Ovis aries: one gene and its partner. The protein of the gene in region 1 purifies or fractionates together with the protein of each later gene. This does not show direct contact. Links are inferred from orthologs where the notes say so. Each region holds a gene or a part of one and is shown on either strand. Other genes may lie near its edges. The genes, in order: RPS6KA1 and CSNK2B.

The links.
Region 2: the proteins of RPS6KA1 (region 1) and CSNK2B purify together in Homo sapiens (affinity purification with mass spectrometry; 4 studies listed by BioGRID and IntAct, with this or other methods). This does not show direct contact. The link is inferred for Ovis aries from reciprocal best matches to the Homo sapiens genes RPS6KA1 and CSNK2B.

Annotation. Positions count from the first base shown.
Region 1 is NC_056055.1:240,326,557-240,338,836, forward strand, and holds the start of RPS6KA1 (ribosomal protein S6 kinase alpha-1), read right to left. Parts: upstream 6,621-12,280; 5' UTR 6,606-6,620; coding exon 6,390-6,605; intron 5,231-6,389; coding exon 5,186-5,230; intron 1-5,185. UniProt on the Homo sapiens protein: Serine/threonine-protein kinase that acts downstream of ERK (MAPK1/ERK2 and MAPK3/ERK1) signaling and mediates mitogenic and stress-induced activation of the transcription factors CREB1, ETV1/ER81 and NR4A1/NUR77, regulates translation through RPS6 and EIF4B phosphorylation, and mediates cellular proliferation, survival, and differentiation by modulating mTOR signaling and repressing pro-apoptotic function of BAD and DAPK1.
Region 2 is NC_056073.1:26,709,713-26,721,990, reverse strand, and holds CSNK2B (casein kinase II subunit beta), read left to right. Parts: upstream 1-5,949; 5' UTR 5,950-6,074; intron 6,075-6,674; 5' UTR 6,675-6,685; coding exon 6,686-6,757; exon of another isoform or gene 6,758-7,474; coding exon 7,475-7,577; exon of another isoform or gene 7,578-8,085; coding exon 8,086-8,201; exon of another isoform or gene 8,202-8,648; coding exon 8,649-8,724; exon of another isoform or gene 8,725-8,860; coding exon 8,861-9,050; exon of another isoform or gene 9,051-9,505; coding exon 9,506-9,596; 3' UTR 9,597-9,736; downstream 9,737-12,278. Other genes in the region: C20H6orf47 (uncharacterized protein C6orf47 homolog), read right to left, coding at 1-438; GPANK1 (G patch domain and ankyrin repeat-containing protein 1), read right to left, coding at 2,735-3,179, 3,746-4,350; LY6G5B (lymphocyte antigen 6 complex locus protein G5b), read left to right, coding at 10,559-10,619, 10,752-10,880, 11,171-11,574. UniProt on the Homo sapiens protein: Regulatory subunit of casein kinase II/CK2.

The DNA of each region.
Region 1 (12,280 bases):
TGACAGTCCGGCCCAGAGCATGGGCGTTCCTCCCACTGTGGTGACCTTCCCGTCACTGGGCCCACCCAAAATGGCAGCCCACAGAGCAGGCGCGACTGCACTCAGCGCTGCCCTGAAGAAGCCGGTCAGCCCAGGGCCCTGAGGTGGGGGCGGTGGGAGAGGGGGAACAGTGCAGAAGGCATGGACCTCACAGGTAGCCATGAGGCAGGGGGAGGCCGGGCCCGGCCCTTTGCCACATGTCCTCACCACATCACTCACCCAGTGCCCTCACAGGAACTGACACACACAGATGCACGCAGTCCGCTGATCGGAAACCATTTCCACAGACATCCCTTCTGTGGAAACACACCCCCACGTACACAGAACTTCCCCTTCCAGTCCCCACAGAGCCCCTGACAACAGTCTGAGGAGGCCTGCTGGCTGTTGTGCAAGATGCTTCCTTAGACTGAGGCCTCTCACTGTACTCCAGCTTCTTCTGGAGGGCCTGGGGTCTGGGGTTGCCCTGAGAGCCCCAAAGCTCTCTGGGTCCAGTACCAGCTACGCCCCCTGCCCCGACTCCTCACTACCCCTGTATCCTTCAGAAGCAAAGGAAGGCTCCCCATGGCTGGCAGGGCACAAGAAGGGGCAATAGGAAGGAAGCTGTCTCCAAACTGCCTGCACTGGAGGGGTGTGTGCAGGGCCTGGGAGCTGCCGGTGGCAGCAGCGGGGAGGACAGCACCAGATCCCACCCCCTGGTCGTGGCCCCATTCCCCCCATAGATACTTCCTCTTATTTACTTCCTCCCACAAGGCAGCTGGAGAGAAGCCCAGAGCGCGCCCCCCGCTCCCCGCCGCCCCCGCTACCACACTCCCTGCCTGATCCCTGGCCTGTAGGGTCCCCATCCCAGGCCTCCCTCCAGCAGCTGCAGCCCAAGCCCACCTGCTGATCTCTGGCCCTAACGGACATCAACAGCCCCGCCCCCAGCTGGCAGCATCTGCAGGGCCTCCCAGGGGTGCCCCCTCTCATGGGGCAAACATCCCCAGACACCTCTCCCGGCATGCCTCTCGGCAGTGGGTCCACAGTTCCCAGGCCTCCTTGATAGGCGAGCTGGCCTTGGGCCCGAGGCCAGGACTGGTATGCAGTGACAATGAGAATTGTGCCTCTTAACTGAGTATTTATTGCAGGAAGCCATTCTTTCCTTCAGCTTTTATTGGTGTGCATTCTGCCAGGCTCGGGTGTCCTACTCCAAGGGAAGTGCTGTCATCCCATTCCAGAGAGGAGGAAACCAGACTCAGACAGAAAGTGACTTGCCCAAGGCCACATGGCCAGAAAGGCGGACAGCTCGGGACAAAATCGAAGCCTACAGGCCGAAGCATTTCATCATCACCCTCCTTGCGAGGCTGCCAGCCTGCATCCTCTCTGGACATTACTCACAGCTATGGGCCCCCGGCTGTGTCCCCAGACCAGTAGCCAGACACTAGGAGGCGCACGTGTTAAGGAAGTCTTCAGCCTTGTCCTCAGGCAGCTCCCCGAAACACACAATAACGACACGGAAGCATGGTGTGCAACAGCGCAGGCAAAGAGCTGGAGGTGCCCACAGGTTCTCACTACCTGCCTGGGGTAAGATCTGGGAAGATGCGACAGTCTAGCTGGACCCTGAAGATGAACAGGAGCTGGCCAAGCAGAGAGGAGGAAAAAAGACACTCCATATAGAGAAAGACCAGCACGGAAAAGAGGCCAGGAGGGCAGGGTGGGAAGTTAAGAACCGTCTACTCATTTGCTCCCGTGCAACCCTCACTCCCTATCTAAGCCTCAGTTTCTTCTGTAAAATGTTCGCACCCTCAAAAGGTTGTTTTGAGAAGCAAAAATGGGCCACAAAGATAAAGGGATGTGGTAAACAGAACTCCCTGAACAGCAAGGGCTTTCTTACTGCGGCAGGGGCTCCTCTGGGCAGGCTGAAGGGACAGAGTCCATGGGTCTCAGGTGTTGAGAGGGTGGAGGGTGAGGGAGCCTTCCCCGGCCAGTCCCAGGGAAATTCCCCCCCAACACCTGAGACTCCCAAGGCTCCCCGAAGTCCACAATCACATCCTGCCTGAGCTCCAGCCAGGGGAGCATGAGGGATCCGGGAGGGATCAGGGTTTCATAAACAGGAAGAGAGGAGGGGAGGGGGAGAGACGCTCAGCTCTCAAAATAGACCTGCAGGCGCTTCCAAGGGGTCCAGCTCCGGAGATAGCCAGGGAGGGGGCCTGGGGTGCCCAGTCCACCTCCAGGAAGGGAGGGAGGGTGAATGGAGCCCCAGCATGCCTGAAGGACCAGGTGCACACGGGGAGCTCTCATCCTAGACTGCAGTCCTCTCTACAGCTGCTAAAACCCCAATCCTTTCTTCTGCCTGAAACGGATCAAATAAACAAGCATTAAACACCAATATGATGTCTCAAACACTGCTGGATGCTCCAATTTATGCACATCACGTTCCCTCCTTCTGGGTGGCCCTGACGGGTGGACTCTATTCTCCTTTTACAGAAGAGGCATCTGAGCCTCCGAGGGGTAAAACAACTCGCCCAAGGTCAGCTGGCAAATAAGAAAGAGGAGCAGAATTTTGAACTCAGAGAGCCTGCCTCTCCTCCAAGTCAGGCCTCTCCTCCCCCTGGAAGGCCCACTTCTCTCTCCAGCTGCCCAAATCCCGGCTTTCGAGGCCCAGGCAAACACCAGCTCTGCGGGGAAGGTGACCTGGTGCCCTACAGCCCACGTTTCCTCTTCTGCCACACACAGCAGTGCCCGTCCATCTGGTCCACCCTCAACCTTGAGAGTGGATGCTACTGGGTTCCCTGAGACGTGCTCATCTCATCATGCCCCAGAGAGGCAGGTAGGAAGGTGGTATATTTCACTGCCCACTGTCAGGCCTGGCACTGAATGGAGGTTCTATGTGCCCACAGCCTGTTCCTCCCCATCACTGCACCCACCACACAGCTTTCTTGTCACCACCCTTCCCCAATGCTGAGAACTCCCTGAGGGTGGGGTGTTGACTTCATTTTGGGATTCCCAGTGCCATGAACATGTGATGATGCAAAAGATAAACCAGCTCCTTCCACTGCACAAAGCGATGAGGTTCTGACCACAGGCTGAGCGCCCCCTGGTGTGTTGAGCCCAAAAGTGGGCACTGGGGATGCTACAAGATTCTGCAGCAACAGAGAAGGTGAACGAGCAGGTGCCGAGTAATGACGGAAACTGTGCTCACGGGGACGCAGTGCTCCTCCTCTTCAGCACTCAGTGTGTCTCCTGGGCTGGGAGGAATGTGGGTTCTGTGGTCAAGCAAGACCTGACTTCATTGCCCATTAGCGATCTGACCTAGGGCCTCAACTTTCTCATCTGTAAAATGGGGAGAGTAACAGTTTCTACCTCTGGGGATGTTATGAGAACCAAATGCAAAGCTCCTGGTATGGCACTTTCTCTCCCTTAACGTAGCATTCAAGGCTCTCCCTGCCCCATCCACGTCCAGCTTCATCTCCCTTCCCACCCCAGGATCTGCTCCAGAAGCAGGAAGGAATCACAGACTTGGGATCAAGAGTAGTTTGTCCACCTGGGTAAGTGCTTGTCTTCTCTTAACCAGCCCCTCTAGCTCTGAGGTGAGAAGCTGTACTCACCACCAGTTCCCTCAAAGCTGCAGGCACCTTTGCAACCCCTAGAACTACAGCCCCAAGATCTGAACATCTGGACCTTCACTGGAGACCTACAGTCCCTTCATTACTAGGCAACCAGGAGCAGCTACTTGGTGGGAAGAGATTCTCCCACAGGAGGCTGAGACATGGGGCTGAGACAAGTCAAGGGGCTCAGTCCACATGACTCGGCCTGGCCTTTGGTGACCCAAGGTTGCCATAGTAACAAAAAGAGGAGGGGTGGGAGCCTACTTCTGTTGGCCTGCCCTACCCCAGGAAACTCGGCTCCCTTATCTTAGGAGGCTGAGTCAAGACAAACATCAGGACCAGCCCTCAGTCTATCTCAAAGGTCAGGCTTATGGTCTGGTACCTAAGCAGACCCAGGCCAGAAGGGCGCGGCCACTAACAGGCAATGGAGCTGAGCAACACGGCCAGGCACTCAGGCTGCCAGGACTAAAGCTACTGTGTGCCAGGCAGCTGCTCTTCTATCTGTTCTTCACGTCACTCCTGAGAGGTAGGAGGCAGGTACCATTATTCCCATTTTACTGCTGAGGAAACCAGACTCAGAAGGGAGAAGCTTCAGGTCAAATGGCGATGGTGGAGGCAGGACCAGAACTCAGGTAGGCTCTACCGCCAGAACTCAGGCCCTGTCCTGCCTGGTGGCTTCCACAGCCCCTCCCCAGCCAGCAGCTCTGCGACCTCACAACGCCTTGAGAACTGGGTGAGGCCATTCCCAGCACGGCGATGAGAAAGCCCAGGCCAGACTGTCCCCCAGCCTCATAGTGCTGTCAACACACAAAACCAGCAACAGGCCCTGGGGGCTGAAGGGATAGACCCAAGGGGAGCAGAGAGCGTAGAGCTGAGGGAGCCGGCCTGGGAGGGGGCCTGAGAAACGGCCTGTGTGCCCCACGCCAGGCACTGGGCCCTGGTGTGACTGGAGGCCACCAGGCTCCCTCCAGCACCAGGTGCCATGCCCTCGTCAGGCCCAGTGGACTTAAGCCTCTCCCATCACCCCTTCACCCTCTTAATACAGTCAGCCAAGCCACCACGAGTAAATAAGCAGAGGAAGCGTCCTGGTCTGGGGGACGGGTAAACCTGAGTTCTAGCCTGGCTTCTGACCCTGTCTGGGCCATAGTCCACTCCCCTGAGGAACCGGAAGGCTGAAGCAAGTAATCCTGACATACGGGGCTGCCTCGAGCATTAGGTGGGCCCAGAGAAGGACTTGGGCTTCCCTGGTGGCTCAGATGGTAAAGAATCCACCTTCAACACGCAGTTCAATCCCTGGGTTGGGGAGATCCCTTGGAGAAGGGAACGGCTACCCACTCTAGTATTCTGGCCTGGAGAATCCCATGGACTGTATAGTCCACGGGGTTGCAAAGAGTGGGATATGACTGAGTGACTTTCACTTTCAGAGAAGGAAGGCTGAGCTGGGCCAGGGGGCCTCACACCTGGGCGGGACAAGGTCAGTGCCTCCTTCCTTGTCCACTCCAGGCAAACAGTCACTCCACCCCTGACGATCCCTAGCTCCGGTGCTAGGGCCTGGCCCTTACCTTGGATGGCTGAAGCCCAGCTTCCTCCCCTGAGGCTTGTCCATTCTGGAAAAGAGAGGAGAGAGTGGGGAACACTGTCAGAACTTACCAGAGTGGCACAAAGCAAAGACAGACCCTATGGGGCGCCCCAGCCCTTGGATGCTCCCAGTGGCTAGAGGGGCCCTGGAGGTGGGGGCGGGAGTTCTGGGAGGGGACAGGCCTCAAGCCTTCTGCAATCGCCCCAACTCAGGTAGCCCGCTTTGGGCACCCCTCCCATGTTCTCTGCCTAGAAAACATCTCATCTTTGAAGGTCCGGCTCAAATGCCATCTCCTCCCAGTGAGAAGGAAAGGACTGTGGGTGTGTGCCAACTAACCAACTCAAGAGGCCTCAGTTTCCCAATCCGTAACATGGGTATTTACATCCACCTCCTAGAGTTGATGCAAGGGCTGAAGGACATAAAGTCTGGGAGAGTGTCCAGCCCAGAAATGCTCTGGCCCTGCCTGCTCTGGGACCCCTCTCCATCCTTGCAGAATCACTGCTACTCCCTATGAACCTTCATTTTACCACTTATCACAATGCAGGGACTACGGACTCGTGGGCCGTGCGTGCTAAGTCACTTCAACTGTGTCCAACTCTTCGCAACCCCATGAACTGTAGCCTGCCAGGCTACTCCAGACAAGAGTATTGGAGTGGGTTGCCATTCCCTTCTCCAGGAATCTTCCCACCCAGGGACTGAACTCATGTCTCTTAGGTCTCCTGCATTGGCAGGCAGGTTCTTTACCTGGGAGCCCCTCCTAATAAACGGGAAGTCCTGGGAGGCAGAGATGAGGCTTTTGGTGCTAACAGCTGCTCTCTTCCGCGCCCCTGCTGCACGCCGGCACTGGCTTTGGTACCTCACATCTGTGGCACCATTAAACCCTCCTGACCTGGGAGGTAGGCCCGGGTCCCATTTGGCAGAGAAAGAAACTGAGGCGCAGAGAAGCCTAGTGACGGCACCTAAGCCACAATGCTGCTCAGCGGGGATTCAAAATCCGGTCTCTGACACCAGGAGGTGCTCAAGAGACTGAGGAAGAGGAGCCCAGCGCCCAGCCAGGGCAACAGAGATGCAGGCATGGCAGCTCACCCCTGCACAGTCCTCCAGACCCCAGACTTCACCCTCCGCTGGGTGCTGTCCACCCTGGGTATACCACCCCTTTCCTGTGTGATATGAAGTGAGTAACCTACCCCATCCGGGCCTTGGGAAGCTAAACGGAGCGGTCTCCAGCCCTCATGTGCAGCAAGAGTGTGGAGAGACCAGGAAGACCCAGGACTTTGGACCAGGGGCCAAGTCCACAGGGCAGCTGCAGTCTTGTTGGCAGCAGCAGGCACAGCTGTGCTTTCCCCATTATATAATCTCCCTGCTCCTGGAGCAGCACTCCCTCCCCGCCAGTCCCTGGACATCCTGCCCCTTGAACCCCCTTAATGCCCCTAATCCTCCCCAGGGGCCAGCGTTCTGAGGCTCCACCATACGTGTTCTCTCTCAGGAGCTTGGGGAGCAGGACTGGGTGGAACCAGGCCTGAGGGGAGGAGGAGGCGTGAGGCCTTCGTAGACGGAGTTCCACTTCACCCAGCATTGCAGACTCTTGACATAACTCTGGATGGTAACAAGGGCCTACACACCAGCCTCCCCCATTCTAAGCCCTCACCCTTCCTAAAACTCAACTGCAACCATTACATTTGAGTGACTCCCCTGGTCACTCACTTACTCCTTACTGAGAACTTTCTAGGTGCCAGGCCTCAAACTCTTCCACGGCTTCCCACTGCCTGTGGGATAAAGTCCCAGCTCCTTGGTATGGCATTCAAAGCCGTCATCTCCAGCTCCCACAGGTGATTAATGTGGGTTCTGGAATCTGACCTTGTGGGTTCAAATTCTGGTTTCTATCACCTGCATAACCCTGAGGTTACTGCATTTCTCAAAGCTTCAGTTTCCTCATCTGTGAAATGGGGATAAAAGTAATGTACCTCACTGGGTAGCTTTAAGAAGCAAGCAAAATAGTGTCTATAAAATAGATACATCCAGGGACGTCCCTGGTGGTCCAGTGGGCCAAGACTCTACACTCCCAAAGCAGGGGGGCCCAGGTTGGATCCCTGGTCAGATCCCACATGCCACAACTAAAGATCCCAAGTGCTACAACTAAGACCTGGGACAGCTAAATAAATATAAAAAAAAAAAAAAAAGTACAGCTTGCATATAACTGGTCCACAAACAATCACCATTATTACTATCCCGATTTTGGAGCTAAACTGAACAAGCTGAGACCCTGAACAGGCCAGCTTGTCCCCAAGCATTCGCACGGTGGCTCCTTCTACCAAGAAAGTCTTTCCTGCCCAGTCACTCCAGCACACTCCTGGTCTTCTTTGAGGACCTGGTTAAATGTCTTCTCCTCTGTCCATACAGCCTTAAGTCCTTTCCTCCCTCCTCTGGGCCTCACAGCACCGAGCAAACCTCAGATTAACTCAGGGAGGAGCCACGGCTTGTCCGGTATTGTCTCCTTGGCACCCAGCTCAGGGTCTGGCACATAGCCTGTCAAATGAAACCTCAAACCAGCAAAGCAAGCAAGGAGGCCAGAGTAGGTTCTATTCCTCCCATTTTTCAGATGAGGCTCAGAAGAGCTGAGTGACTTAACTGTGGCCTCTCTGTTAGCAGGTGACAGACATGGGGCTATGACCCAGAGTCACGTGAATCCCCAGTGAGAGACAGGAGGAGGTGGTGGGTGAACCCAGAGGTGGGCGCTTACAGGGCAGTATCTTGGAGGACTCAGGGAGCCTGTCTGGCTGCCTCCAGTCCCGGGGTCTGGCTTGGGTGCCATCCTCATGGAACGCCCAGGCCTGTAAGAGCTGATGCACAAGGTCTCTAGGGGGAAATGGGCGGCCCTAGCGAGAGCACTAGGAGTGCAGAGAGGACCACAGGTGACCTTCCCCTTGAAAGCCAGGGTCCTGGGAAGACAGGGCGCATCTGCCCTTCCGGACTGACTATTGTACAGAGGGTGGAAAGAGCACAGGTCTGCAGCCACAGAGACAGAGCCCCTGCTGCCGGCTCTGCCAGCCACTCGCTCTGAATGTGTCTGTCACATTACTTCTCGAGCCTCGGTCTCCTCACCTGTACTAGGCGGGCAGGTCTGTCTTGTTCACAGTGGCACCCTGCTGGTTGGAGAAGTACTTGCCGCATGGTAAGTGCTCAATAAACACTTGCTGAATGAATGAATGAGGACAATGATACTGACCTTGCAGAATACTGAATGGAAGACCTCGTCTATGAGTCTACAGGAAAGGCCTTCTGGCCCCTAAGAGGGTGGAGACTCTCTCCTCCCGCTTCCTCAGAGAGCAATACTCATGGGCACAGCGACCGAGGGCCCCCAGGCCATTGCGCCCCCTCCCCAGAGGTCAGAGATGGGTTCCAATAAGCATCCTTCCTTCCCACCCAAGCCACTCTGTCTTGGGAAAAAAAGCGTCCGGGGCAGTGTCTGGAGAAGCTGGGCAGCAGATGGACAAAGACAGCACGTGCCCCATAGGCAGGAAGCAGCCCCAGGAGTTGGGTTCAGAGCCCAGCACTGGCAACTCTGCCCGCTGCTGGAAGCTGGGGGCCAGGTGCCAGGGCTGGCGGGAACTACTAGCCCTCAGCCAAGGCTGGACAGGAGAGTGTGCCAACATCCGGAGCCTCTCCTGGAGTACCTTCCACCTGGCCGGCTTGATCCCAGCTCTTGCCTGTCTTTAAGTCTCCCCCCTACTAGGTAGAAGACAGCGAGAGATCTGGATTCTAATTCTGACTCTGACATTAATTCGCAGGCCAGGTCCCTCTGAGTTCAGTTGTTCCATATGATGACAGAGGTAATACTCCCTACCCTGAGAAGCTGTTTGCAGAATTATTTGACTTTAATAAGGCCACCCTGGTGGAGTGCGGTGGACAGCACAGAGCAAAGCTCTGCACAGCAAGGCTGGGCCTGCGGCCACGGTTACTGAGCCCAGCAGGGCCAGGGGAAGGCCCCGGCAGGATCCTCACCCACACTTCCAGTGGGGTGGCTCCACCTGGGCCACACCCCAGACAAGGCCCTGCCTCTGAGCAGCCCATTCTCGGCAGCTTCACAGGGAGGGCAGATCCCAGGCCTCTGCCAAATGCCCTGCCCAGCCCCTCGGCCTGCCTCCCTCCCGGCCAGGAGCCTGTACCTGCAGGTCAGGGTGCCGTATCACTTACGTGTCACCTGGGCTGAGAACAGCAAGGCCCTGTTCTCCAGTAAGAACCTGCACCCAACCCGCGCCCTGGCCGCCCCATGGCTCCTGTTACCCAAACAATAACACCGAGTCGCCTGGCACTTCCATGGAGTGGGGAGGAGGAAAATGGGCAGCACTCCTTAGGCCTCCGTACCCTCTCAGGCCCAGAAAGCAGAGGCCAGAACCCAGCCCTGGCCAGTGGAGAAACAGAGGTCCAGAGAGGCTATGGACTGACTGAGGGTCACACAGCAAATTCAAGGTGAAGCTCCTGGAGAAATCACAGCCCCCCTAAACCAAGGAAATAAGCCTGCCTTTTTTTCCTCTCAAAGTTCAGGTGGAGTAGGACTAAAACTGAATTGAGTTTCCTGTTTAAACCTGGTCCCTGCCTCAGGATTTCCCAAAGAGAAGCAGGAAGCAGTGCCCTGGACTGGGAATTGAATTTCTGGGTGTCTGCCTTCCCAACTAGTATAACCCACAGTAAGTCCCTCCCTGGCCTCTCCCAGTCCACCTTCCTCTAGGGAGGCCTAGGTCTCAAGTGTGTGCCAGGACAAAGGAATTTACCTCTGAGCGCCGCCCCCAACCCCTTGTGCCCCAGTCCTAGAGGGTGGGCAGCCCGTGGCTAGGGGCTGCAGAGGGCCGTGTTCCTCAGTTCGGAGGGTGAGTCAGCGGGAGAACTTCTGAGCTGTGCAGGGCCCGTAAAAACCCCATGGCAGGGATCCCAGAGCAATTTACTCCAAATTGCGCCTTCAGGTTGGTTACCTAATCTTGCCGCGCCCACCCTCCAATAGCCAGTGTCAGCGGTGACCATCCCTTTAAAGGGGCAGCACACTCCGGGTGCTGGGGACCCAGGATCCTCACTCAGCTCCCAACCAGCAGCCCTGAGGGGCAAGGCACTTGGTGGTTGCCCCAGGTAAGAGAGGGCAGAGGAGGGGATCTAAGTGGGGAGGGGTCCAAGCCCCAGCCAGAAGAAAATCACTTTGGGTCTCAGGCTCTCTGAGGTTTCCATCATCTCCCTCATATCCCCACATACCCCTGGAAAGGCAGTATCACCCACTGTCCTTCCCATAATGAGGCTGAGGGGAAAGTTTTCTCCATCTGCCAGTTCAAGGGCTTGACCTTGACCCTGGGGGGCACAGGAAGAGCAGGCCTTCTGCAAGGTTAGGGCCTAAACCACAGTATCCTCAGGAGGCAAAAGTTGCTTTTGGGAGAAGCTAGGCAGGCAAAGGCCAAATTCCCTAGAGGCCCAACCCTTCCTATGGGAGGGGGCAGGAACCAAGGACCTCCTCATCTCCAGGAATAATTTTCTCAAAGGTCTAAGGACTTTTCCCCATTCTTTTCTCTCCAGCCTGGGAGAGGTGACACAGGCGTCCTCTGACCCTAGCCTGGAGCAAAGAAAACCAAGGGTTTCAGTCCCAGACGGGCAGAGTCACCCCAAATTCCACAACTGCGACGATCAAGAAGGAAATCCTTCTAAGGTCAGCAGCGGAGACGCCGGGAGCCCTTGGGGTAGGGCCGCTGTGAGACATCAAGAAGTTGGCAGGGGGCGCGGGGGAGGGGGCTCCCATGACCCTCGTCTCGTGGAATCCAAGACATCTGGCATCCCAGCCCAGGTCCGTCTGCCCTAATGAAGGAACCTCCGACGGCTCCGGGTACAGGTCCCAGGTGTGTGTGGGGTGAGGCGGGGGTCAGATCTAAGCGCAGCACAGGATTCGCTCTCCGGGGTAAGGGGCTTCCTCGGGGCTTGGCAGAAAGGTCCCTCGCGCACACACACACGGGGCATTAGGGGGTGGAGCCGGAGACGAGGCTGGAGACCGGAGGGCACTCGCGCCCTCGCGGGCGCCCGCCAGGCTACAGCGGCGCCGCGAGCCGCCCCGCCCCTGCGGGGACTCGGGCTTGCCGGCCGCCGGCGCCCGTCCCCCGCCCAGCTCACTCACCTCCGGGTCCAGCGGCACCAGCTCCATGAGCGGCCAGGGCTCCTTGAGCTGGGCGAGCGGCATCGCGCCGCCGCCGGGCCGCCCGTGCTCCACCGGCGGCCAGAGCCGCGCCGCCTCCTGGGTTCTGAGGTCCCACGCTCAGCGGCCCCAGCGCCCCCTTCCTCCCCGCCGAGACCCTCTTGCTCTGGCAGGGCCGTCCGCCGCCGCCGCCGCGGCACTAGCACTTCGGCTCCCTCCGTCACCCGGCGCCGCCGCGCCCATTGGCTACCTGCGCGAGGGGGCGGGGACAGCGAAGCCCCGCCCCAGCCCCCGCGGCGCGGCATTCCCAGGGAGGACCCCCGCCTCCGCCACGCCGGGAGTGAGGGCCCCGCCTCCACCGTGAGCCCCGGGCCCACGCTCCCCTCCACCCAGGAGAGGCCCTCCTGGCTCCTCCCTCCCAAGCCCGGTCCCCGGGGCCCAAACCGCCCCACACTCAGCTCATTTGGAATAGCTCCCCAGATGCCCCCTCTCTCTCCAGCGGGCCTGTACCCCTTTATTCCCTTTACCTCCCCTATCTCCCCTCAAACCACCGCCGCCCCTCCCCCCCACTCCCAGTCACACCGAATGTCCTAGGCCTGACCCAGGGAGAAGCTGGAAAAGGAAAGGAGCCTGAGCCGTACTCCCCTCGTTGCGAGGCCCTAGGACACTCTCCGCATCCCACCCTCCCACACCCCCAAAGCGACAGTGGGATCCCCTGCGCCCCAGCTCCGGGCAGGGTACGGATCTTCTTTCGCCACCATCAGGGCCCACAGTGCCTCCAGACTGATATCTTAATACGTGTGCTTTGCTCTTTTCAAGCCATGTCTCTCCAGAATCTCTCCAGCTGCAAACCTGGCTCCGGGCTGATTTGGGTTTGTGCCCCCTCTGGGGAGGCTCCCAGGATCCACCGACACT
Region 2 (12,278 bases), on another chromosome or scaffold:
CTTCTCCACCAGGGCTTCAGCCACTGAGGGGTTCAATTCCTCTTCAGGGGACCCTCCATGTTTCCCGGTGCCATCTGAGTCCACAGGATCCTGTCCTAGTTTGGGAATGGTCTCCCCAGCCTCTGGTCTCCCAGACTCTTGGGTGCTGGAAGCAGTCATCTCCCACTTGAGAGAATCCATTCTTTTGTACCCCAGTTGCTCAACTTGGGCCTCCCTGCTTGGTTCTGGAGCAGCCCCAGAGCTCCTCTGTGCACCTGAGTCCTGGGTCTTGGGAGACCCCAGATCTCCCATGGTTTCTGGGGCACTGTCCCAGTCACTCCCTGAATTCTCAGAGGAGCTGTCCATCCGTCTGGGTTCTGGGGTGGGCAGGTCAGGTCTTGTCGACTTCCGGCGGCCCCAGGGGCGAGGGAGCCAGCCACCAAGGCGTCGGAGGAACATGGCTGGGGTGTGCAATGAGCCCTCCAATTCTGGGGCTGCTTCCTGGCACGGCTTAGGTTCTTGGATGGAGGACTGAGGATTTCCTCAGAAACCAGAGTGTGTTTAGGCTCAGAAGAACAGGAATCTGCTTGGAGAGTCCTACTCTGAACTCAGAAGTGGCTCTCCTCTTCCCGGCATGGTCATGCAGCCTGAAGCGGCTTGTTTCCGTTTCAGTTTTAAGGTAAAGAGAGGCACATTCAAATCCATTCACCACCACCCCACTATGCACACACACAAGATTCCAAAAGTCTACGGATCTGACAAAGCCTGGGACACCGTCACAGTGTCCTCCCTGTCTTCCAGGTTTCCTTCCCAGCAGGCAGCACCCCAAGTTTCACTCACCAAGGCCACGCCCCAAGGTGCCCCAGAAACTGGGGAGGCGGTTCTCCATCCAAAAAGGAAGGAAGGAAGGAAGGTGGCCTCGGTTCCTAGATGCTCCCGACCGACCAGGAGAGTCCTAACTGCTGCCCTAAGGCAGCTCAGAAAGAAGTCTCCTGTTAAGTGAGTGGGGGGTGAGGTATCCGGCAAACTCCAGCCAGCAACGTTCCTGCTTTGATTCAGAGGGCTGTGATTCCTATAACGTGGCCCCACTGGCACCCCAGCCCGCAGCTGAGATTCAGTCTTCGCAAGGTCAGGCCGGAGATGTCTTGGGAGATCCCGGGAGCGAGGCAAAGCGCGCGCCTGCCTGGGGAGCCTGGCGTCCAGGCATCCAAGCGATGCAGCCCCTCCCGGGCCCAGCGTCGGGGCCTCGGCCTCGCGAAGCCGCCCGGAGCGCAGAGCCCGGAAGCAGCCGCACCGGGACTAGAGGACAGGCGGAGGCGGAGCCCCAGCTCGCGGGGCGGACCCTGTCGATCGACCGCCCCCCAACCCCCGCCCCCGGCCCGAGCTGCCTGTGCGCGCCATGAGAGCGCACCGGCCGTACCGAGGGGCGTACAGCCGAGGTCACAGGAGCCAAAAGCGTGAATATAAGCCCAGGCTCCATTTTCGTCGCCTAGAAACCCCCGGCCGCTGGTATCCCCTTAAGCTTGCCCGCCCCCTTTAGTTCCCTTGAGTTCTTCCCTGCATCCCGCTCCACTCTTCTAGTTCACGATTTCATGAAAGGCTTTTCCAGAAGAGAAAGCTGAGAGGAGGCTTGGGGCTTGAGTAGCCCTTCCTTGCTCCTCCATGCACAGATGTTTACCTCTTGGATTTGACAACAGTGGGCACTTCATATGCCTGGCACCTGGTATGAGGCAGGAGAAGCAGGAGAGGAAGTATGGGGAAGACAAGTGTAGACAAACAGGATGTGCTTCCTGCCCTTAGGAGTTTTCGGGTATCAAAATGAAGAACCTTGGCTTAAAGTGTAGCTTTGGGAGGCCAGAGTTCTGGTTCCAGCTCAGCTAACAGCCTACAAGCTACATCTTTGGTCTTCGTATCACACTGCCCTCTTCCTGCAAGACGCCACCCGTGATCATTTCTGAGCCTTTCCTGACTTCCCCATCACCATGCATTCTTTTTATCACATCGTGTCTCCTACAGGTGCGAGCAGCCTTAAGATTGGGCTTGTCTCATTCCCATTCATAGCACATAGTATACAAACTTGTGAAATCAGTGATTGAATTGGCTAGAGTGGACAGAGGGTGCTTTCTGTGGGAGGTCAAACTTGCATGAAAGTGTTAGTCGCTCAATCATGCCTGACTCTTGGCGACCCCATGAACGTAGCCCACCAGGCTTCTCTGTCCATGGGGTTCTCCAGGCTAGAACACTGGACTGGGTTGCCATTTCCTTCTTGCGGGGATCTTCCAACCCAGGGATCAAGCCTGGGTCTCCTGAATTGCTGGCAGACTCTTTACCATCTGAGCCACCAGGGAAGCTCTGCATAGACTTGCATAGAGATGGGTAATTCCTGGTTCAGGGGTTGAAAATAGATGGGGCACTAAGGGCAGTGGCTGGGGACTAGAAGTGAACCAGACTGGCAGAGGCAACCCTATCAGGCCACGTAGAGGAGCTGCCTCTTCTGGTTCTGGTAGAATTTCATGTGGTCCCGTCTCATTTGGCTTCCCTGCAACAGCTTCCAGAAGTGAATAAAACACCAAGACGGAGAAAAGCTTGATTTTATTTCTCAACTTTTGGCTTCTTTCTACTGAAGGCAGAGTCCACTAATCAAAACCAGAAGGTGTGGAACCTGGGCAGACATCAGGAAGTAGAAGCCCAAGTGTCTAAGTTCGGGGCCCAAGTTCAGACTTCAGCAACACACCAAGGTCAGAACTTGCCCAAGTCAGAACTCGAGGTTCATGTATGTCCGCAGATCCCGCTCCCAGGCCTTGTCCTTCTCTTCCTGCCTTTTCTCCTCCCTGCGGTTCAGTGTGGTCACCCTAGGGGCTCTCTCCCTCCCAGCCACTGCCCGTATATCCCGAGCTGGGAAATGTGTAACTCGGGGCTGAGGTGCTGGTCTGTAGCCTAACCCCTCCTGGTCCCTCTTGAGGACAGTGGGGATAGGGTTGGCACGGCCCTCACCCCGGGGTCCTAGCCCCATTCCAGGCTCCCAGCCCCCCCTCAGCAGCAGCTTGAAGCCTGGGCTGGAGGTAGAGACCCCAAGTGGTAGGATGGGGGGCCGGAGATCCCGGGACAGCGACAGCAGGTGAGCAGTGGATGTACAGTGGTTAGAGTCTTGAAAGTGGGCATCACAAGTCTCACAGTACTGGGGGGAGGGGGATCGGGACCTGGAGAGAAAAAAAGAGAAAGGTTAAGGGTAACACAAGGGTTTAGGCCTCAGAGGTGGGTGGCAGGGTGGGACAAGGTCCTTCCAGTATCTCTGCCAAGAAACAAATTGTCTTTCCTTCCCAGTTAGCAACAGTGGACCTGAAGGAATGGTTAAGGCCTCACAACGTTCTTGGGTGGGAAATAATAATTACTATAGTTAACATTTGTACAGTGCTTACTATGCTATTAAATACAAGCACTGTTCTAGTATTTTATGTATATTAACCCATTTAATTAACCCTAACAACCCTATAAGAAGTATAGTCTAATTTCTTAGATAGGAAAACTGAGCCACATGGACGCTAGGTTGCTTGCCCAAGAAGTACAATCAGGATTTAAACCCAGAGAGTGTGTACAACACAGAAATTTAGCAGATATTTTACAATGACTATAAACAGAATATCACTTTAAAAAATCCTGAATTGCTATATTGTACATATGTAATTTATATACTTGAATTATGCTTCAATAAAACAAAAATAGATTTAAAAGTTTAAACAATATTAAAAGATAAGGCTTCCCTCACCGGTTCTCTGGACTCCTTGTCTCTCCAGGGCTCTCTCTGACCATGCGGGCCACCTCAGGGAAACCTGCTTCTTCAGCCAACTGAGCAGCATCTCTGCCCCCCAGCTCACAGACCCCTACCCAGGCAGCCCCACGGCCCAGGAGATAGCGCACAGCTGCCCCCTGGCCTGCTCGGGCGGCACACATCAGAGGGGTCCACCAGAAAGCATCCCGAGCATTGATATTCCCTCCAGCTCCCCCTGCCTCACGGGGATCCAACAGCCTTTTTAGTTTTGCCAGGTCCCCCTCCTGGGCTGCCCTCAGTATCTGCTGGGTCGTCTTGTCCTTTGTGTCAAGGGATCTCCTTTGTCCATGTCCTCCTGCTGCTCCTGCTGCAGTCTCCCTCGTCATTCTTCTTTTCTTCCTCTTCCTGGCAGGCCCAGGCTGAGCTCTCTGGGTTTCAGGGGTGCTGCTCTCATCTTCAATTAAGGCTTCGTAAAAAGCCCGGGCTGCAGCCCCCTCCAGGATGGGCTCCAGCTCTTCAGGCTGTGATTGCAGCTGCCCATCTTTCCACAGATCACTGGAATCAGTGGCTGGGGTAAAGTTAATGAGGGAAGACCCAGACATGGCTTTTGGGAAATCTAGGAAAATGAGACTAGGAAGCCAAGCCCCTGGTGGTCCTGCAGCGACCAGAGCCAGTTCCAGACACCTAATGAGATAAACAAAAAGTATCCTTAGCGTCAAAAATCCCCTCCCAACCCAAAAGTGACCCCACAACCTGGGACCCTGTAGGGTCAGTAACAGACAATGCCCCTCAATAAAGGTAAGAAAGAAGTCTCCGTAAGACAGTTGCCCAGACCGTGCGCTCCGCCCCTACCTCCATCCGCACCAACAATACCAGCCTCTCTGAGACAACTTTATCACAGCGTAAAACATACCATTAAGAAAAACAATCAAATTGGCTCTTTAAATCTTCCTATTTCAGGGTAAGTTCTTCCCAAACAAAAACAAACGCGACACGTCTCCGGAAGCAGGAAGCAGCTTTCAGGAAGAGGTTCCAGTCTGTGTCGCTTTATAGCTTCCGTACTGCAAAATGGCGCTACTCTAAGCAAAGGAGTCGACAAATAATCACAGGGCACAAAGACGCATGCGTGGCCGGGGAAACAAAACAAAACAAAACAAAACACCTGAGGGTGCAGGCGCGCGCTAGCGCCGGGTTTTTCCCGCCCTGGAATGTTTCCATAGCAGAAGCACAACGCACCACGTGCCGGGGCAGCGCGAGGACTGAGAAAGATCCGTCGGTTGGGGTTCTGTTTTTACATAACGCCCCCACAATGCCCTTCGCCTCCTCCCTCAACGTGGCCCCCGCTCCGAGCTCATTTTCTGGACCTGGGAAATCACTCTCAGGGTTAAAAAAGGCTCTGAGGCGGAGAATGCCCAGAAACCCTGAAATGAAATAACGTCACGCAGCCCCTCACCATTACTCTGACCAGGGTTCGAAGGTCGCATTTAGCGCCCACAGCAGCCCCGTTCAAGCCCTAAGAGGAAATGGAGAAGTGCAAGGGGACAAGCAGCAGAATGGCTGGCACCACCTCAGGTTAGCCCACGGGGCCGTCCTGGTTCTCACACCGCTCAGCTCATCCCAGTACACCCTACCCAGGACCCTCAGCATGGAACCCGGCCTCACCTCCCGCCTCCGCTGCGCGAACCCCGGATGAAACAAGGGCCCCGTCGCGGGTCTCCTTGGCGGGCTGACTCCAAGGAGCAAGGCAATAAGGGCCAGGAGGGCTGGCTGGCTGGGGATGAGGTCAATGCCCCGGGCAGCAAAGTCTCGCCGAGGCCTGAGGCTCGCTGTTTGATGGGAGAAGCAAGAAGCAACCAGCCAGCCTAGTTCCTCTCCCGGCCCACCCCCTCCCCTCCATGGCCCTGCAGTCCCCGGAATCACACGACTATATTTCCCAGGCTACCTGGCCCAGAACGCGGTACTGAGTTTCCGCTTCCGGTGGCGGCTCGCAGTGCCCTGCTGCGCCCCGCCCCCAGCGTACCCCTCCCCCGGGGCCTCGTGACACCAGGGTCGTGCGCGGGTCATCCTGGGATTTGTAGTTCGCTTTTCCCTAGTTTCGTCAGTTTCTTCTTCCCAAGGACTCCATTTCCCGGCATGCACCGCGGCTCCTAACTCTAAGCACTTGCGCGTTGCCCTCTTCCCCACCCTCCCCAGTTTCCACTCCCCCCACCCCACTTCGCCTGCCGCGGTCGGGTCCGCGGCCTGCGTTGTAGCCGTCGTCGCGGTCTTTGGAAGCAGAAACTCCCCTTCCCCTCCCCGTCCCCCGGTCCCAGTCCCCGTCCAGTCGGTGAGTGTGGTGGTCGTCGCCGCGCCATGTCCCCTGTCCCTGGGCGCGGCACATGGGGTCTCCGCGTCTTGATGTGGGGGTGGGAAAGGAAATGACCCGGTCCGGCACCGAGGGTAGGAGAGGTGGCCCGAAGGGTGGAGGCGGGATGTCGGGACTTCTATGAAACGGACCTGACCACCACCTATAGGCCATGAGAAAAGGAGGGCCCAGCTCTTGCTTGGAAAGGATAAACTTCGGAACCCTTGAGAATGGGGCCAGAGACTTGCGGGGGTAGGGAGCTTGAGCCACGGCCCTACCGGAGTTGACACGGAGGAGAGAGGGGCCTGGCTTTCAGGAGCGTCAGGGATGGAGGTAGGACTAGTGGGGTCAAGACCTGTCGGTTTCTCACAGCTGGTGGACCCCGAAGAATTTCTCTATGTAATCTCAGTGAAAAGGGGCTGGAATGTAAATAAGAGGAGCTAGAGAGACGTGCTCCAGTCTCGGGTTCTTTAAGAAAAGGGTAGCCCCAAATTCTTCCATGGTTTGAGGGCAAAGTGTGGGAGGAGTGAGGATACCAGAGGTTGGGAGGGAGAGCTTAGGCTTATACTCTTCTGTCTCTAGCCGACGTGAAGATGAGCAGCTCAGAGGAGGTGTCCTGGATTTCTTGGTTCTGTGGGCTCCGTGGCAATGAATTCTTCTGTGAGGTGAGTTCTCCTCAACCCTACCATCCACCTCCACATGTAATCTGGCCACATAATCTCCTGCACATAAAGCTTCCACACACTTCTCTTACATACTTTAGTAAAAACTCTTGTCAAGGAGGAGTCTCCTTAGTAGCGCTCTCTAACTTGTGGTGAAGGGTCAAGACTGAGACCCCAAGTCAACCCTGCCACCCTCCAACAGCCTAATGTTGGACTTGTCAACCTGTGTTGTTTTTTTTTTTTTTTTTTTTTTTTACCAGGGAAGTACTGATAGTATGTATTTCTGGTAGCTATTAGGAGAATTAAAACACTTCACGTTAAAATGTTTTATAGCATGGCTGTGTGTTAACATAAGGGAGTGTAACTGACTTCAGAATCCAAGCTGTTCAGCCCCCACCTTCCTCAGAGAGCCAGCTGCCCCTCAGGAGAGGCCAAAACTGATTCCTAGAGCTAGGAACAGGAATCAGGACAGGGATCTTGAAAGGACTGCCTCTGTAAGGAGGGGATTGCTTATGTTTAGGAGAAAAAAGCCAGACCTCTTCTGGGTGGGCAGTATACACGAACTAGGGAGAGAGGTTCAAGTACTTCTGCTGAGTTGGGAGTGTGGAACAAAGGGAATGAAGCAGTTGTGTTGAAGATAAGGCACGAGTTAGAGCACCCTGCCCAGGTCAAAGCTGAGGATTCTGCTTTGGGTTTCCTTTTGACTTCACGTCCTGACAGGTGGATGAAGACTATATCCAGGACAAATTCAATCTCACTGGACTCAATGAACAGGTGCCTCACTATCGACAAGCTTTAGACATGATCTTGGACCTGGAGCCTGGTGAGACACCCTCAGGGTTGTTTTGTGTGTGTGCTGTTTTTTTCCTATTCACACCTTGTTTATCTGCTTCATGAATTTCTAAATTTCCTTTTGGTTCTCTAACCCTTTTAACCCCAAATCCTTTACTTCATTTTGATTCCATACCTCACTCTTGCCTAATTTTGTGACTTCTACACTTGTTCTCATACTCTGATCCTATAACTTAGCACTTATCGAAAATGCTAGTTTCTCCATGGGTGTTATCTTCTTCCTTGCCCCTTCCAGGTTAGAGTTCTATCTTCTGTGTTGACATCTTTGCATTTATTTATTAAAAAAGAGAAGGAAGCAGAGGCTGAGAGGGATGGAAAGAAACCCTTGGGTTGGTGGAAGGGGCAGAGGCCCAGGCTGTGGGTGGGGTGAGGCTCCAAGTTGGGTGCTGGGCTGAAGAGCCAGCAGCCCCTGGGAGTAGGCAGGGCACCTTAAAAAGTTGTAAGACAAGTGGTTGCATTTGGCTGGTGCCATGTTTCAGATGAGGAGCTGGAAGACAACCCCAACCAGAGTGACCTGATTGAGCAAGCAGCCGAAATGCTCTATGGATTGATCCACGCCCGCTATATCCTCACCAACCGTGGCATCGCCCAGATGGTGAGGCCTCTCTACTCCTACTCGGTTCCTTCAGAGGCAACAGGGAAGCAGAGTTTCCATCAGCAAGAAGTCACTCGTTTCAGCCTTGTCACGGAATCTAGCTGAGAAGAGGGGAAAGAACCCCAGAATCTGGGCCTAGGGGTTAAGACCTGATTGAGGGTTGAGGTGAAGGGAGTGTTTTGGGGGAGGGAGATGTGACCTAGAGCAGAAAGTTGTAGACTGCCTCTTCCTCAGGGAATAAGCAGTGAATGTCTGATGATCTTCAGACTGCCTGACTGGATGAAAGGAAGCAGGGGAGTCTGAAGGCCCATCTGAGCCAGAGAAGGGGCCTCTGGACATTAAGAGGCAGAAGGAGTTGGGGACACAGTGATGTGGATTGGGCTGAGGAGGGGGTTGCCTCTTTTCTTCATACCTACCCACCAACTCCTTCAATTTCATTCACATCAGTTGGAAAAGTACCAGCAGGGAGACTTTGGATACTGTCCCCGTGTGTACTGTGAGAACCAGCCAATGCTTCCCATCGGTGAGTGTTGGGAAAGGGAAAGGAGGGCCATGGCAGGCTGGGATGGAGTTGGGGCTCAGCAGGTTGGGGCCTGAGTCCAGGAGGGAGGTTGGGCAGGCTTGGGTAACCTGGCCTGCTGAGTCTGGCTGTCTCCCAGGCCTTTCAGACATCCCAGGTGAGGCCATGGTGAAGCTCTACTGCCCCAAGTGCATGGACGTGTACACACCCAAGTCATCGAGGCACCACCACACGGATGGCGCCTACTTCGGCACCGGTTTCCCTCACATGCTCTTCATGGTGCACCCCGAGTACCGGCCCAAGAGGCCCGCCAACCAGTTTGTGCCCAGGTGGGGAGCAGGGACAGAGTCACCAAGGGTCGAAAGAAGTGCCTTGGATCCCCCAGAAAGAAGGGAGGATGAGGCAGTAGCTAGCCTTGCTGCCATTTTGTGTGCTCAACTTTCGCTAGGAAATTCTCAGAGCCACGGTTGAAGTGTATGATCTTCCTGCAGTATCATTTTTGCTCTGGTGTAGAAAAAGAAAGTTCAGCTTTTATATTAAAACAAGTACTGCCATGTATATACTCATGTATATATGTACAGACACATATTTGTAGCTTTGAATTTGAGTTTTAATAGATATTTAAAATACATTTCCAAATATTCTTAAAGGGAGAAGTTGGGGAACCGCTGCCTTGAAGTACTGAGCAGGCCCATGAAGAAACTGGGGTAGGGGGGAATGCAGGCCACTGGCAGGCCAGGATGGGGCTCACTGTGCTTCCTCTCTCACCTCTGCCCCAACCCAGGCTTTACGGTTTCAAGATCCATCCAATGGCTTACCAGCTGCAGCTCCAAGCCGCCAGCAACTTCAAGAGCCCAGTGAAGACGATTCGCTGATTCCCCACCCCACCTGTCCCTCGGTCTTTGACACTTTCATTCCTTTGCTGCCACAATTTCAGGAACCCTCTATGGTTTTTAGTTTAAATTAAAGGAGTCATTATTGTGGTGGGAATATGAAATAAAGTGGAAGAAAAGGCCATGGGCTGATTGGCTGGTGTTTGGGGTTGGGGAAGCACGGGTAATGGTATGCTGGGCCCCAGGAGCCCTCCTGGCTCAGCCCACTCTCTTCAAGTGGAAAACCAGCACAGATTTGTACCCAGTAGATTTGGGTGATGTTTTTAGGACTGGGTGTAGGGATGTACGGAGATCACGAGGCAAAGACAGAAATCGGATTTCAAAGACTGGAGAAATATTTGCTCTTTTTGTGTTGCCTGCAGTTGGCTGTTTAGGGGATGTAATCAACATCACTTTGAGTTTTATAAAGAAAGTGGTCCCAAAATAAACTGAACTGTAAGGGGTGGGGAGAAGAGGTTCAAGGTCCAGAATTTGCTGTTTTGTGTCTATGTGCCCCCTCCTGGGGAAGCTGAGACATGCTCATCTCAGAAGGATGAAGGTCACTGGGTTCCTGGTTAAAGTTTCTCCCAGAACAATAGGGACTGGCCCTGTTGTGTAGGGAGGATGGCAGATGGTACCAGAGAATGAAACTAATCCATGGACCCTGGAGGGGCAGGAACAGATCTTTGAGGGACACTCAGGACAAAAGTAGACTGCTGGATTGGGGCCCAGATATTGCACCTGTCTGGGCTGCCGCTCCCACATTCAGGAACCAGACCAGGTGGGTGAGGACATGTTCTCCTGCCAAGCTAATTGCTTCCTGCCCCAGGGAGGAGTATAGCTTTGTACCTACAGCAGCTCCTGCCCAGACTACCTGTCAAAACCACCTTGCAGTTCAGGCTCGAGGAGTGTGGTCACGGGGTTTCTAGGCACCCCTCGGGGAATGCCCCTCTCCCCAGAAGTCCATGATGAAGGCCCACATGCTTATAGGTGCACTGGTCATGGTGGGCTTCACGGTGGGAAAGGGTAAGTGGAGCAGGGGCAGGGCAGGAGGGGTGGCTGAGTACAGGGAGAGGGTGGCGGTGGATGAGCGGGATGTTGCAAGGCAGGGAACTTGGAGTGGGCCAACACCACCATCCGTGTCTTCCGCTTCCCCAGCTCCTGTTTCTGAAGTCCGGACCTGCCACCTCTGCCTCTTAGAAAATCCTGCTGTAGGATGCATTTCAGGCTCAGAGAAGTGCACTATCAGCAGCTCATCCCCGTGCATGGTGATCAGCATCAACCATGGTGAGTTGAGTCAGGCAGGGAAGGGGCCACTGGCAGGACAGCCTATGGCATTGTCTCCTCTTGTAAATGAGGGCTGCTTGGGGCCTGAGGTCTAAGGAGATGGAGGTTTCTGGTAGGGGAGGGGTCTGGAGTTCTGGGGAGCCGATTAAGCTAATTTCTTCTGGCCTCTTCTGCAGGAGTCTGGAAAGGAAATTGGGTCTAGGTGAGGGATGGGCAGGTCTGTGAAAGGGGTACCAGTTCTGGTGACTGTGGGAGGCAACAAGGGTTATTAGTTGTCCCTTCTTCTCTAGAGAACAAAGCTCGCTTCTTAATCCGAGGCTGTGGACAACACAATTCCTACCGCTGCCAAGAAAACCTCCCCACCTACATCTCAGAGTACTGGTACTCGGCCCAGTGCTGCCAGTATGACTACTGCAACTCCTGGTACAGTCCCCAGCTCCAGAGTGCCTTGCCTGAGCCCCCTGACAGGTCCCTGGCTCTGCCCCTGTCTCAGTCCCAGATCCTGTGGTTCTACCAAACCCTGAACCTGTCACTGCCCCTGCCCAGCTTCCCTGCTGGGGAGGAGCCTTCTGAAGGCCTGGACCCCCTGGCTGGCCCACCCGTGAATCTGAGTTTGTCCATTGCTGACCTGCGCAGCATATACCTGTTCCTCAACAGTTCTGGACTTTTGACTCTTCCCTGGGCTGGTCCCTGACATCTTTCCCTGCGCAGATAGATTTCTGTCTGGTCTAGCGTCTCACTCCTGGCACCCCAGCATCATGCATTGTCTTCTCAGAACACTCCCACTCTTGGGTCTGTAAGTTCTCAGTCTTCCTTTCTTTTGCCTTTCCTTTGTCCTTCCGGTGTCCGTATGGTTTTGGTCTCGTCTCCTCCCCGAAAAAAGCAGTTGGCAGTGTACCCAGAGCCCTTCGACCACCTAGAATATAATCTCAAATGCGGATTCTGCCTAGGCTGACCTGGGTAAAGGCACAATGGTTTTCTCGACACTGTCCTGTTAACTGAATGTCCCATCACCCCCACCCCACCCCCCATCTTCCTGATCTCTCTCAGTCTGGCTGTTTCCACTCTGCTATACCTAGCTAGTTCAGTCTGTGCCAGACTGAACTTGCATCAGAAAGGGTGAGAGCTGGACTTCGTGCAGGTTTCCTGACTGAGCACTGTGGCGCCCCTCCTTCACTGTCTACCCGCCATGCTCCTGCCTGGTCAGCTGCCTGCTCTCATCTCTTTTCCCAGTCTCTGGCTTCCTCAGCTCCGCTTCACATCCCTGAGCCATGACACCCACTTGCACAGATTCCCAGGGAGAGGAGGGGGTCTGTCCCTTGTTCTGCACTCCCTAGTCCTCCTCCACAATAAACAAACTGCCCAGAGTCCTTGTCATGTTTTTGATGGGGGCAGGGT